Oryzias latipes: one gene and its partners. The protein of the gene in region 3 binds, or shares a complex with, the protein of the main gene of each other region. Links are inferred from orthologs where the notes say so. Each region holds a gene or a part of one and is shown on either strand. Other genes may lie near its edges.

The links.
Region 1: gtf2e2 (region 3) and ercc3 share a complex: the UniProt entries of both Homo sapiens proteins name them as parts of the TBP-based Pol II pre-initiation complex. The link is inferred for Oryzias latipes from reciprocal best matches to the Homo sapiens genes GTF2E2 and ERCC3.
Region 2: gtf2e2 (region 3) and polr2k share a complex: the UniProt entries of both Homo sapiens proteins name them as parts of the TBP-based Pol II pre-initiation complex. The link is inferred for Oryzias latipes from reciprocal best matches to the Homo sapiens genes GTF2E2 and POLR2K.

What each region holds. Positions count from the first base shown.
Region 1 is NC_019861.2:14,793,351-14,796,354, reverse strand, and holds the end of ercc3 (general transcription and DNA repair factor IIH helicase subunit XPB), read right to left. Parts: intron 2,296-3,004; coding exon 2,146-2,295; intron 1,104-2,145; coding exon 966-1,103; 3' UTR 606-965; downstream 1-605. UniProt on the Homo sapiens protein: ATP-dependent 3'-5' DNA helicase/translocase. Binds dsDNA rather than ssDNA, unzipping it in a translocase rather than classical helicase activity. Component of the general transcription and DNA repair factor IIH (TFIIH) core complex.
Region 2 is NC_019869.2:7,013,611-7,018,042, reverse strand, and holds the start of polr2k (DNA-directed RNA polymerases I, II, and III subunit RPABC4), read right to left. Parts: upstream 2,881-4,432; 5' UTR 2,767-2,880; intron 1,702-2,766; 5' UTR 1,624-1,701; intron 1,541-1,623; exon of another isoform or gene 1,061-1,540; intron 757-1,060; exon of another isoform or gene 651-756; intron 1-650. UniProt on the Homo sapiens protein: DNA-dependent RNA polymerase catalyzes the transcription of DNA into RNA using the four ribonucleoside triphosphates as substrates.
Region 3 is NC_019859.2:11,941,305-11,944,957, reverse strand, and holds part of gtf2e2 (transcription initiation factor IIE subunit beta), read right to left. Parts: intron 1,940-3,653; exon of another isoform or gene 1,790-1,939; intron 921-1,789; coding exon 838-920; intron 456-837; coding exon 348-455; intron 1-347. UniProt on the Homo sapiens protein: Recruits TFIIH to the initiation complex and stimulates the RNA polymerase II C-terminal domain kinase and DNA-dependent ATPase activities of TFIIH. Both TFIIH and TFIIE are required for promoter clearance by RNA polymerase.

The DNA of each region.
Region 1 (3,004 bases), on a different chromosome or scaffold from region 3:
GTGTGGTTTCAGATCATTTTTCTGTGAAAGATAAAGGCAACACCAAAGAGACCTTAGTTATCTTCTTTGGGTATCCTGAGTTAATTCATTCATCGACACTTAAACTGATCAGCGTGTTGGGCTTAATGTAAAGCGTCATGGTGCTGCCTGAGGACACTTACTCTGACCGACTTTGAGGACACTTCGACACGTGGAGAAGCTGCTTTTCAAACTGTTGCAGAGTGTTCTGAATGAGCTCGGAGTTGGCAGCATTGATAACTATCACCGTGTACACTTAACAAACACGTTGAGTCAAATCTACCTTAATACAATTTACTCCCTCTAAACCAATCAGTGGAAGTTCCCTAAGGTAAAAGGTAATAGACAAGGCCTTTCCATGCCCCTGTGCCCTGTTTTTAAAAGAAAATTTTTCATATAGCTGCAACTGGAGGGTGATTGGTGCAGAGTATGGAACGCTTACATTTATTTAAGACACAACCATGTACTTTGGCACTGTTTAAAGCCTCAAAGATGTTAATTACAAGATAGAAACTTGATGACAGATCTGCTAGAGAAGGACTTGGTTGATTTTTTCTTTTCATGTCCTTCATAGAAATGAATTATTATTATAATAGATCATATGTTTTATTTACCTCTGGATAAGAAACAACATCAAATATACCATTAAGAAATATTAAAAGGACATAATCAGTCAACTTTCAAGGTTAGTCTAGGAACAACAACAGATAAATACAAGATGAGGTCTAGGATTCCATTGTTTCAGCTTTACAGGTTTTCCCAATTAAAGCAGTTTAATGTACATTTCATGAACAAAAAAAGGTATAAATGAAACACCACTGTTAATTATTTCTGGAATAAAAAAATATGTAGAACAAAAATTCCAGTCAAGTTTTTCTTATTGATCCTTTTATTTTGAAAAACCAGTAGGCTGGAACAATAACACTAAATCCATACTAAACGCAGAGCTACTTTCTAAAGCGCTTGAACAGAGGATGAACACTCTTAGCGCCAAAAGAAGCCTTGTTGCTTTTGCTCTGATACTCCATGTAGACGGTGTCATCTGCACCTGACATGGAGCTCATGGTGCCCGCTCGCCTTGAAACCTGGTAAAAAAAAATGAAATCAAAAAGTAAGTACAAGTGTTCAAAACCAAAAAGGATTTTTTTCTTCTTAAATAAAAGCAGATGACGTGAGCCACAGCAACATTCCTTATATTAAAAAGGTATTACTTTGTCCTACTTCTTCATTTGATAAGGGGGTAGCTAAAAACACGTCTTTTGGTGTGAGCTGCACGACTCCACCACAGAAGTCTGGAAAAAGTGGCTCTATTGTGTATCTTAAAATAGTCATTCATGTTTAGATTTTTAACATTTAATGACTGAGCAAAATGATACACATACTCTTATCTTCTGCTGTACACGAGTGTCTAGTTGCTGTTCAGAGGCAAAGCTGTTAAAGTATATAATTCTATAGATATATATTTTTGATTCCACACCAATGTTGTCATGTTTGTTCCCGATAGGAAAAGGGGAAAACAAATGAAGGTGCACCAAAAGTCAAAACAGAAAATGTCATGTTTAACTTGCAGTTCTTAACTCTGTAAATCTGCTACAGCTATCTGTGTCTTATTTGACACAGGGTGTATTTTATTTTGAAAGGAACTTATACTGCTGACAAAAGTAAAATAATTGTTATATATGTAAAAATATATCACTTTATCACTACATTTTTTTACTATAATTCAATTATTGTTAAAAGCTACATTTGATAAATAAATGGATCAATGGCAACAGAACATAAGTAAGGTGTATTTTTCTAAACTGTGACTTTGCAGCTCTGACTGGATTTGAGTTAGAAACTGGCTTAAATCACTGTTTTAGCGTTAATGACTGCAGACCCCTGCTCCACCACCTTCTATTAGGTCAACAATAAACAAATGGCAAAACAACAACGTGGTGGTGTCGTCACCTGCTGGGAAAGGTAGGACCAAACTGTCTAGACTTCCTTATAACTGGGTCCAAGCTGAACAAACAAGTTGCTTTAGTTCATTGCAGGGTTGATTCTTCTATTCCTAAATCCATTAGTAAAAGTTCTAAATGAATTGTATTTATTTATTTATGTCTTTATTTTTAAATAAATTTTTACCTGTGGTCGAACGCCCAGTTCAGTTGCCACTATTTCATCCTCCGCGTCCAGGTCTGAAGCAGCTAGGACCTTCTGAAGCAGCTGCTGCTGTTCCTCTCGGGTGGAGAACATCAAGTCCTCTTCGTCCATACCTGCCAACTTTGTTATCACCTGTGGATGAACAGTTGGAGCAGATGAGGAAAACTCAAGATATTCTTCCTGAGTAATGACCCCCTGTTTCTAGTAGGAGCCAAGAACATCTTGGGATTCAGTTCATACATTTAGGGGATCCGGATTTATCGGCAAAGGGCCACACATCAATGCTATGTTCACAACAGCCTCTGCAACGGAAGTTCAAGCGACTACTTCAACAACATATCAAAAACCCAACAGGAGTGGGATTATTTAAGTTCACTTCCTTCCACTCCCTTTCAAGCAATCTTTGATTTAATGTCTAATTATCCTAAGTTTGATACGTCTTTATATAAATGCATAACTGCTGATTGTATTGTTTTGTGCATTATCCTTGCTTTGATTGATTGAAATAAACCATTAAAAAAAATGTAAATGGCGTAAAAATAAAATGTTACTAGAAAAATTCTTCGGTTTGGCTAAACAAAGTTACCTTTTGTGCTGCCAAACAGACTGTAGTTGTTGCAAAGAAAATCTATTACAAGTTTAAAAAAAAAAAAGAAAAAGTCTAAAATTCATTGCCTTTTTTATTTTTTTTAGTAACTTTTACTGACTTGTTGGTCTTTGTTTCCTCCAAACTATGTAACCTCTGAAAGTGACAACAGTCAAGTCTTCTTAAGTAACAGTAACCACGGATGCAGTGAGAAAAGAACTGGAATTTAATGTAACTAAATAGATGCAAAGAGAT
Region 2 (4,432 bases), on a different chromosome or scaffold from region 3:
GGTTGCTATGGAGATAAAATCAACAGAAAAGCCGCCATTTAAAATAAAAGTGGATTTTTTATCAACGTATGATATGTAGCTCTTACTAATGGAGCAATGTGTTTTTCTGAGTAAGTTGATGATGCTGATCGCTAAGCTAACACTTTTAGCCATACTAGCATAACTTTCATTGTTAGCATAATTAGCATCTTAAGCAATGTGTTTTTCTGAGTGAGTTGATGATGCTGATCGCAATGCTAGCAATTCTAGCCAAAATAGCATATCTAGCAGTGTTAGCATATTTAGAGTCTTAAGCAATGTGTTTTTTCTGAGTACGCTGATGATGCTGATCGCTAAGCTAGCACTTTTAGCCATTTTAGCATAACTACCATAGTTAGGATGGTTAGTATATGCATTTTTTGGGTGGTGAGGGCGGCTGAGCTGCATAGAGGTGGGCAGCGATAGCGGAGGTGGTGTGTAGAAGCGGGTAGCGCCTACAATGCCACGTACGGCTTTAATTTACATCTATAATTTTGTCTGCTGTGAGTTTTCCTGAAACTTTTGCTATGAACTCTATTAAAAATTGTCATATATTAGCTGGATGGTTCATATTAAGGGCTATTTTTATTAAAACAATGACACAAAGTTAGGTGAAATTGTTTTTTAAAAGAGAAAATGAGGAACGCTTCACGAATTTGCGTGTCATCCTTGCGCAGGGGCCATGCTAATCTTCTCTGTATCGTTCCAATTTTAGTATATGCACTAGAGAACTAGTGCAATGAGCCAATGTCTCGGAGTGCTTTTTAAACCCTCCCCTCTGCTACTCTTCTCAAGCATGAGGTGTGATCTGAGGGAACACAGTGGACTTTAAAGGGAACCACAATTAAGACAAAACACCAAAAAAGATCCTCTGTTTCTCCCATGACACAGGATCGTCTCAGGTTCACCATCTCCATTCAAAGTTTGACTTAAATGCTTAAATCAGATTAAAATTACATTTTTTCTGACTTTGTGAGAGACTTCTTGGAAGGATTCTGGGAAAAGAAGGGGGGTTTTGTCACGTCAGACGAGTGCGACTGGTTTCCCGGAAGCGCCAGAACAAAAGGTCGAGTCAACACCCCTCCAGGAGGACCTTTACCAACCCCCACCGCAGCTCCAACCAACCCCCATGTGCTGATGGTTACACACACAGGGGTGGAGACTCTTTCAGACAAGGATCTGTGTGGAGAAAGAGAAAACTGGTCTGATCGCGTCAGACTGACGTCATTCTGCTGCTGCCTTCAAGCAGGAAGCCAAAGCGACGACTCGCTGCAGAAAGATCAGCTCAGAGACGAGAGTCTGTGCTTCTGCTTCCAGCAACAGGACGAACAGAACTCACATGGACCTAAATTCAATAAGAAGAACCCATCAAAGACCAGGATTATACACTTTCATTGGTGCGGAGACGATCCTGAGTGGCTTGCTTCCCTGTTGAGAGCCTGTCGGCTCCTGGTTGAACTAAATTCTGACCATTTCCTGCTTTTTCTCCAATATGCTGCCTCTGAAATTCTTTAAATACATTGTGAGCATCTGTGAGGTAAAATTCTACTTCAAAAATCCTGTTTCTAAACACAAAGATACAGTCATGTTTAATGCAGAAAATACCTGCTGTAGATCTGCCACATGGTGCCGCTGTTTCACCGCTCCACCTGGAGATTCATTACATGGAAGCGTTGCATTCAACTAAAATAAAGAAACGGTGGATCTTCATTATATTTATTCTGTGGAATTTTGTTCCAGTATTTCAAGAACTATAAAGGCAAATAACTTCATTTGCTCATCAAACATATAAGATGAGCTGCAATTAGAAGTTGAGAATGTGTTCGTGTCACAGACACATCCGGTCACCGGTCTGCTTTGTTTTTTTCATACTAACTTTATCCACAAACATGACGTTGGATATAGTTCTATTGACTAGTGTAAACTTTTTATTTGTGTCTGTGGTGAAGCAGAAAACGAGTCACAGCCTGAGTTTACTTCGATGTGAAGCTACAGAGGCAGACGGGGACCGTCAATAAAGTACACCAAAACACCCCAGACAAACAATAGCAGTTTCTCAGTAAGTCAACATAAATAACCTCTAAAACATTACAAGTACTCACTATTGTTCAAACAAACTCCACATAAATCCATACTATTACTTTATTACTGCTTTTCTTAGAGTGAACCAGCGTGTTGGAGTCACCCAAGTTGTAGACGTGTCCTTATCACCTCGCTTTAGGACAACTGCCGTAGTCCTAAAAAAACAGTGATCAAATGATCAAATAACTGGACCTTTTCTACGCGCTTTCTGGCCGTCCAAATGCAGAGAAATTGACGACAAACACCCACAGTCAGCAATAAATAAGAAGTTTAACGTTATTTACTGGAACGGAATGGAAATTTGGTGAAATTAGCGGGCCAGAAACTACTTTCAAATCCGCCATTTATTTAGATTAGAGCTTTGAACGTTAGCAACAATTAAATTTGTTTTTGTTTTCTACTAATAACACATCATTAAACTGTGTTTTCGACAAGACGAGCAACACATCTATTCCGTTATCTCACGAAAGCAGTAGTTATAATCTCGTAATATCGACTTAAATCACTCCAGAAAGTGAACTAATTGAGCAAACACGGCGGCCGTCGTCTTTCGTTTCCCTAAAAGCTTTGAACAATTTCTTTGATCTTAACCGCCACGCATGAGCTGCTCGTCTTCTCATGATTGTCGCATGTGTGAAGCTCAGAAAGCAGAATTCTGCTCCTCACCGTCGTTTGGACTCAGGTTGTTCGGGAGAAGTAGGACACGGAAGCACAAAAGCCGAACCCAGAGCGGTTCTGATCCGAACCTTTCACGCTGGAGTCCAGTAGGTGACTAGTCCGAGACATTCAGGGAACGTCCGAAAAAGAAAATCTCTCTTGAAAAAGTTTAGGAATTTAAAAAACAATAAAGAAAGCACAAGTAGGATTTTGTTTATCTATAAATGGACCCCCCCCACACACACACACACACTATAAAATCATTACTTAAATAAATAAAACAATAAACTAAGAAATGAGGTTTTTAAAGACAAACACAGTAAAAACATTGATTTCCACCTTTAATGAATGTCTGTGAATCGATCAATCGATGACCTCACGCGTTCATGGTTTTCATCCATTTACAGGTTCTTTCTGTTGAGAGAAGAAGTGAATCCCTTCCAGTTGTTTGTTTCTTTAGAAGAATCAGCAGCAGAGGATCTTTATGCTGCAACCGCGCACAGCGGGCCGCGAACTCGGGAGCTTCTGCACGGCGAGAGGAAGTCTTCCTCCGACGGGCCTGATCAGAGTGTTCCAACTTCTCAATCAATCAAATGGCCAGAATTGTTCCAATTTCTAGTATCAAACTTTGCTGTGTCCAATCAGAGAGCCGGATTCGTTCCAATTCCTTCAAATAACTGCCGGTTTTCCATTATTTTAAGACAAATAAATAGTTTGCATTATTTCAAGTGTCTAAAAGAGATTAATGTATTTGTGAAGAAGTGAACTCACGTTGTTACGTGTGTTTTAGTGAAAAAGGAAAAGGAAAGAACATATTTAATACAAAGTTTGCAGGCGGAGATGATTTTGTTTTTACAGGGAACGTTTATTTGCAATAAAAGTAGAATTGAAAAGAAAATATCAAGAATAAACTTCTTTTGAATCAGAACATTTTTAATAATAGGAATATTGTTTCCACAGAAAACTAAAATGTGTGCAGAGATTTAAATGGAAATGAGATCCAGCAAAGTACCAGGAGTGAAGAAGCTGAGAGGAGATTTCTCCGATGATGCTGTGATGATGAACCTGCTGGTGTTTCTGCGGCAGATCTAACCTCTGTCATTGTTCACCAGCAGAAACCTGGAAAAACACAGAACGACCCACTGACTGACTTTGGATGAAGAAAGAGGAAGACTCCCACCAGCTTTCATGGGAGAAGAAGGTCCAAGGTGAGGCAGGTCGTCAGTCTTGGGAAGGGATGGGAGAGGTGGAGTGGTGGATTCTGGACCCGTGCAGAAGCTCATGAGTTCATGTCTCACTTTGTACACTCAGACTGAAAAGGTTCAAATCATAGAAATGCAGGAGAAATCTAAAAGATTTAGCAAAGTATTTGCATCTCTAAATACTTTGAAATTGGGCTGATTTGGTGGTGAGAGATGATGCATTGAATCATTTGGCACAAAGAGATGTGAAAGTACTGAGTAAACAAATTGTTTTGTGCTTTTTTTCAGACTTAATCATCGACAAAACAAAGCTGCAGCTGCAGAACTCTCCGTGTTCTGGACAGATGTGTTCACCAAAGAGGGCAGAACTCTCTCATCACACATAAACGTCAGCTAAAACTAAATTGGATCAAGGTTTTTTGAAGCTTAAGCATTAGAACAAAAAGTGTGGCGCTTCAACTCGTCCTGAAGAT
Region 3 (3,653 bases):
GCGATATATATATGCTGATCGTCACGATGGGTTAAATAAAGCATCATATGAAACAGAAAAACTGTAACTGTTACAGTCGCTTGTTAAAATAAAGTTTTTTCGAGGAATATTGGAAAAGGAGACTTCCAGTTTCGGTTGAAAACTTCTGGGTCTGACAGATGAAGTTGTCGTCTAGATCCAGATCCTTGTGGAATTTCTCTGTTATTTTTTGGACAGATCTCATTCATTGAAAAGGTTGATCTTCAAAACGAACTGAAGTCGCAGTGCTGCTGCTTGGATGCTGGGTAAATGTTTCTAACAAAACACCAACTCCATCACTTCACAGCTGGGAGGAGCAGCAAACTCACCTCTGTCATGAGCCAATGCTTCTGTTTCATACTGATGTCCAGAAGTTTGGTCTCATCCAGAATCTCATCCAAAGCCAGGAAATGTGTGTCGCCATTCTGATGTCTGGTCTGTAATTTCACACCAAAACAAGTCAGAAAACATCACATCATATCGGAGTCTCTCAGTGAAAAGGCGGGCCGTGCATCTCTCCATTGGTTTAGGGTAACTTGGAGCCGCTGCATTCAACAGATAGATGGCTCAAAGAACACAAAGAGAGAATCGGTGGAATGAAGTGGGAGCCGATTCAGTCAGTCGGGGAGATTGACACGGCCCACTGCTCAGCTTGGATGGAGAGAGCACAAGCAGGTCAATGATGTGGATGCTAATGTGGGGGCTAAAATGAACTTCACACGTTCGTCAAAAACATGTGCCGGGGAAAAAACAAATAAACAAAAGAGAAAAAAAAAACATTTTTTACCCTGGACTACAAACAGAAAGCATCATGTTTACCTTCATGTAATTGACGATCTTAGCCAGGCAGCCGAATTTGTACCCGGAGCTTGCTTTGATGTTGATGTTGCCATTACTGCTCTCTGTGAATGACATTTCAAAATAAAAGCTTTTTACGGTTGAGATTAAAGCCATTTTGGCAAACACAAACTTAAAGTCCCACTCCGATCATCTTCTGATCTATTGTCAAAGTGTTCCCAGTGGTCTTTTAATTATGATGATGTCCGTTTTAACGCCCAAATCTGAAAACCTGTGTCGTTTTCTAGGACGTCGTTTCTGCAGAGCGGCAGGAGTTCATTCCAAATTTGCCTCTAAGGTGTGGACGGGGAATGTTGGTGCGGAGCTACACCACCCCCCTTTCCCCTCCTTGTTGCTGAGAGCTCTCTGTTTACATGCTCGCCGAATGTCCAGCGAGGAAAGCAAAGGCATTCGTGGATCTAGTCGTCTACAGGTGGATGCATCAGAATGGAGCGGAGCAGGGAGCTCATGGCCCGCCGACCGTTTCCACGTCACAAATATCATCTTTTTCAGACGGTGTTTTCTCATCTACTTCTAATTCAGGAGGATTTGAATCAAGAAAAAACTCAAAAGGGCTATTTCAAGCTAAATTTTCAAAATAAAAGTCCTCTGTCAGCAGAAAAATGCCAGAAAAAAAACCCTGTTAAAAAACAGCAAAAGCACGATTTTTAACAAATGGGTCTTTAAAAATAGTATTGCATTTCCTTGGGTTTTTTTAAGCCGTTTTTAATCTGTTGCTCTGATAAGACATGAATATTAAATGGATCTAGCATTTGGTGAAAACTTAAGTGATTCAGGCTGTGAGCTGGAGCCTCTGCAGCTTTAAGCTGCAGAGTAGGCGGGACGTTACAACGATGACAAGCTGGCTAACAAATGGAGCTAAGGCAGAGGAAAAGAAGGGGTGTAAGGGGGGGGGGGGGGGTCACTGCAAGGAGTGGCGGGGGAGGAAGAGGAGGAGGAGGAGTGTATGGACTGAACCCATGACGAGTGCAGGCTGAGAAGAGGGGAATACCGACAGACAGGTGCAGCAGTGAAAAGAGGAGAGAGCATCTTCTGTCTTCTATCTTCAGCCACAGCCAGACAGGTGAGTCTGCATGTTTCTCTGAATAGGATTCTTAAAATGGCACTTTTTTTTAGGATCTGCCATTTTTTTAAGGATTTTCCAGTTGATATTAGCAATCATTTCTAAAAGCTACTTTTGTGCGCGCTAACGGCAAAAGCAGCCCTCAATCTCCTCAGCTGTAATATTCCGAAGCCAGGATTTCTCATGGGTACGCTTGATTAAATAAACATGGATCAGTCTGCGCTCCTCGGGTTTCAGGGACCATCATTCCAGGGACCATTTCCGTGAGTGTCCCACGTTCGGGCGCCGTACCTGTGACAGCTGAAACGCACAAAACCTGAGCGAACAAACGGACGCACAAATCAGTCGAGACTGAGAGGAACCAGACAGCTTTTTTTTTTTTTGGAATGCGTGTTGAGAAAAAGCAAATGTGTGGCTCCAATGCCGCCCACAGAGCCCGGCCGGGGTGGGGCTCGCTCGCTTAGGGGAGGGAGGTAACAGATGCTGCACCGTCCCGGTTTTTGTGCGACTCCTCAGGAAGGATAATGGATAAGCCGAGAGAGCATTGGTGAGGGGAGATGGACAGAAAAAGGGGGGGGGAGGGAGGAGGCTGGCCAAAACACATGCAATAAAAGAGGCTGTTGTCATAGCGACGAGTGATGATGAAGCTGTTAGTGCTTGATTAACAGGGAGAGGATGCTCAGTGTGCAGCAGTTAGAGACGAGAGGCGGGGAATGACAAACGGACGCAACCACAAATTAATTCCCAACTTATACACAATACAAACTTTGATCGTGTTTACATTTGTGCTTAAATTCAACATTTGATAAGAACTTCACCAAATGTCTCAGCAAAAACACATTTTTAACAAAGTTCGACATTTCCAAAGCTCGTGAAAAATAAGAGAAGCAACAAAAAAGCACAGTGGCTTTTTAAAGAATATAATTTGACGTCACTTTTTGTTTAGGAATCCAAAAATAAGAGGCAGAATTCTTAGGAAAAAGTTCATAAAAGAGACCAAGTCTCCCCTTAGATTATTCAAAAACGTTTAAGTATATAAATAATTGTCCATTTTCAAACATTCTCAGACTGCAGTTACCTTAATCAGTATGCTTTAGTCAAAATGTTAGGGGATGCTAGTTAAAAGACAAAAGTCCAATGTAAGACAACAAAAATAAACATACAAAAATAAAGGTTATATTTCTGTGGTTCAATTTATAGTTAATGTTGATGCATTTTTGAGAAACACATGTCAAGCTCATAAAGTGAAACCCTGCTGGTGCGCGCATCGCTTCAGGAAAAGTTACATGACCAATACAGCTACTGTGTCGATGCGTCACAGGAGCCCAACACGGAAGCGCAGATTCCTTGTTTGCCAGATTCTGCTGTTCCTGAATGTGGCAAATAGATTCTGCGCCAGATTCTGCAGTTTTCCACCCAATCGGGTGATTTTGAGTCTCAGCTATCTTTTATTTTGAAAAATATATATTTTTTTTAAATTACCAGATCTTCTCGGCGTTAAACCAGTCCAGCAGCAAGTTTAACAGCGTAAGAAAAACTATTTTTGATGCCCTGGACGTACGCCCAGGTTCCAGCTGTTAAATGATTCTCTGATTTTGTTTGATCTCATTTACATATCTGCTATTAAATCAGTTGTTTTGGGCACTTGCTCGAGCACTTTTTTAAAAACATAAATAAAAGTTATTCCAAAAGCCTTTTTTCTGCTTTGAAAAAC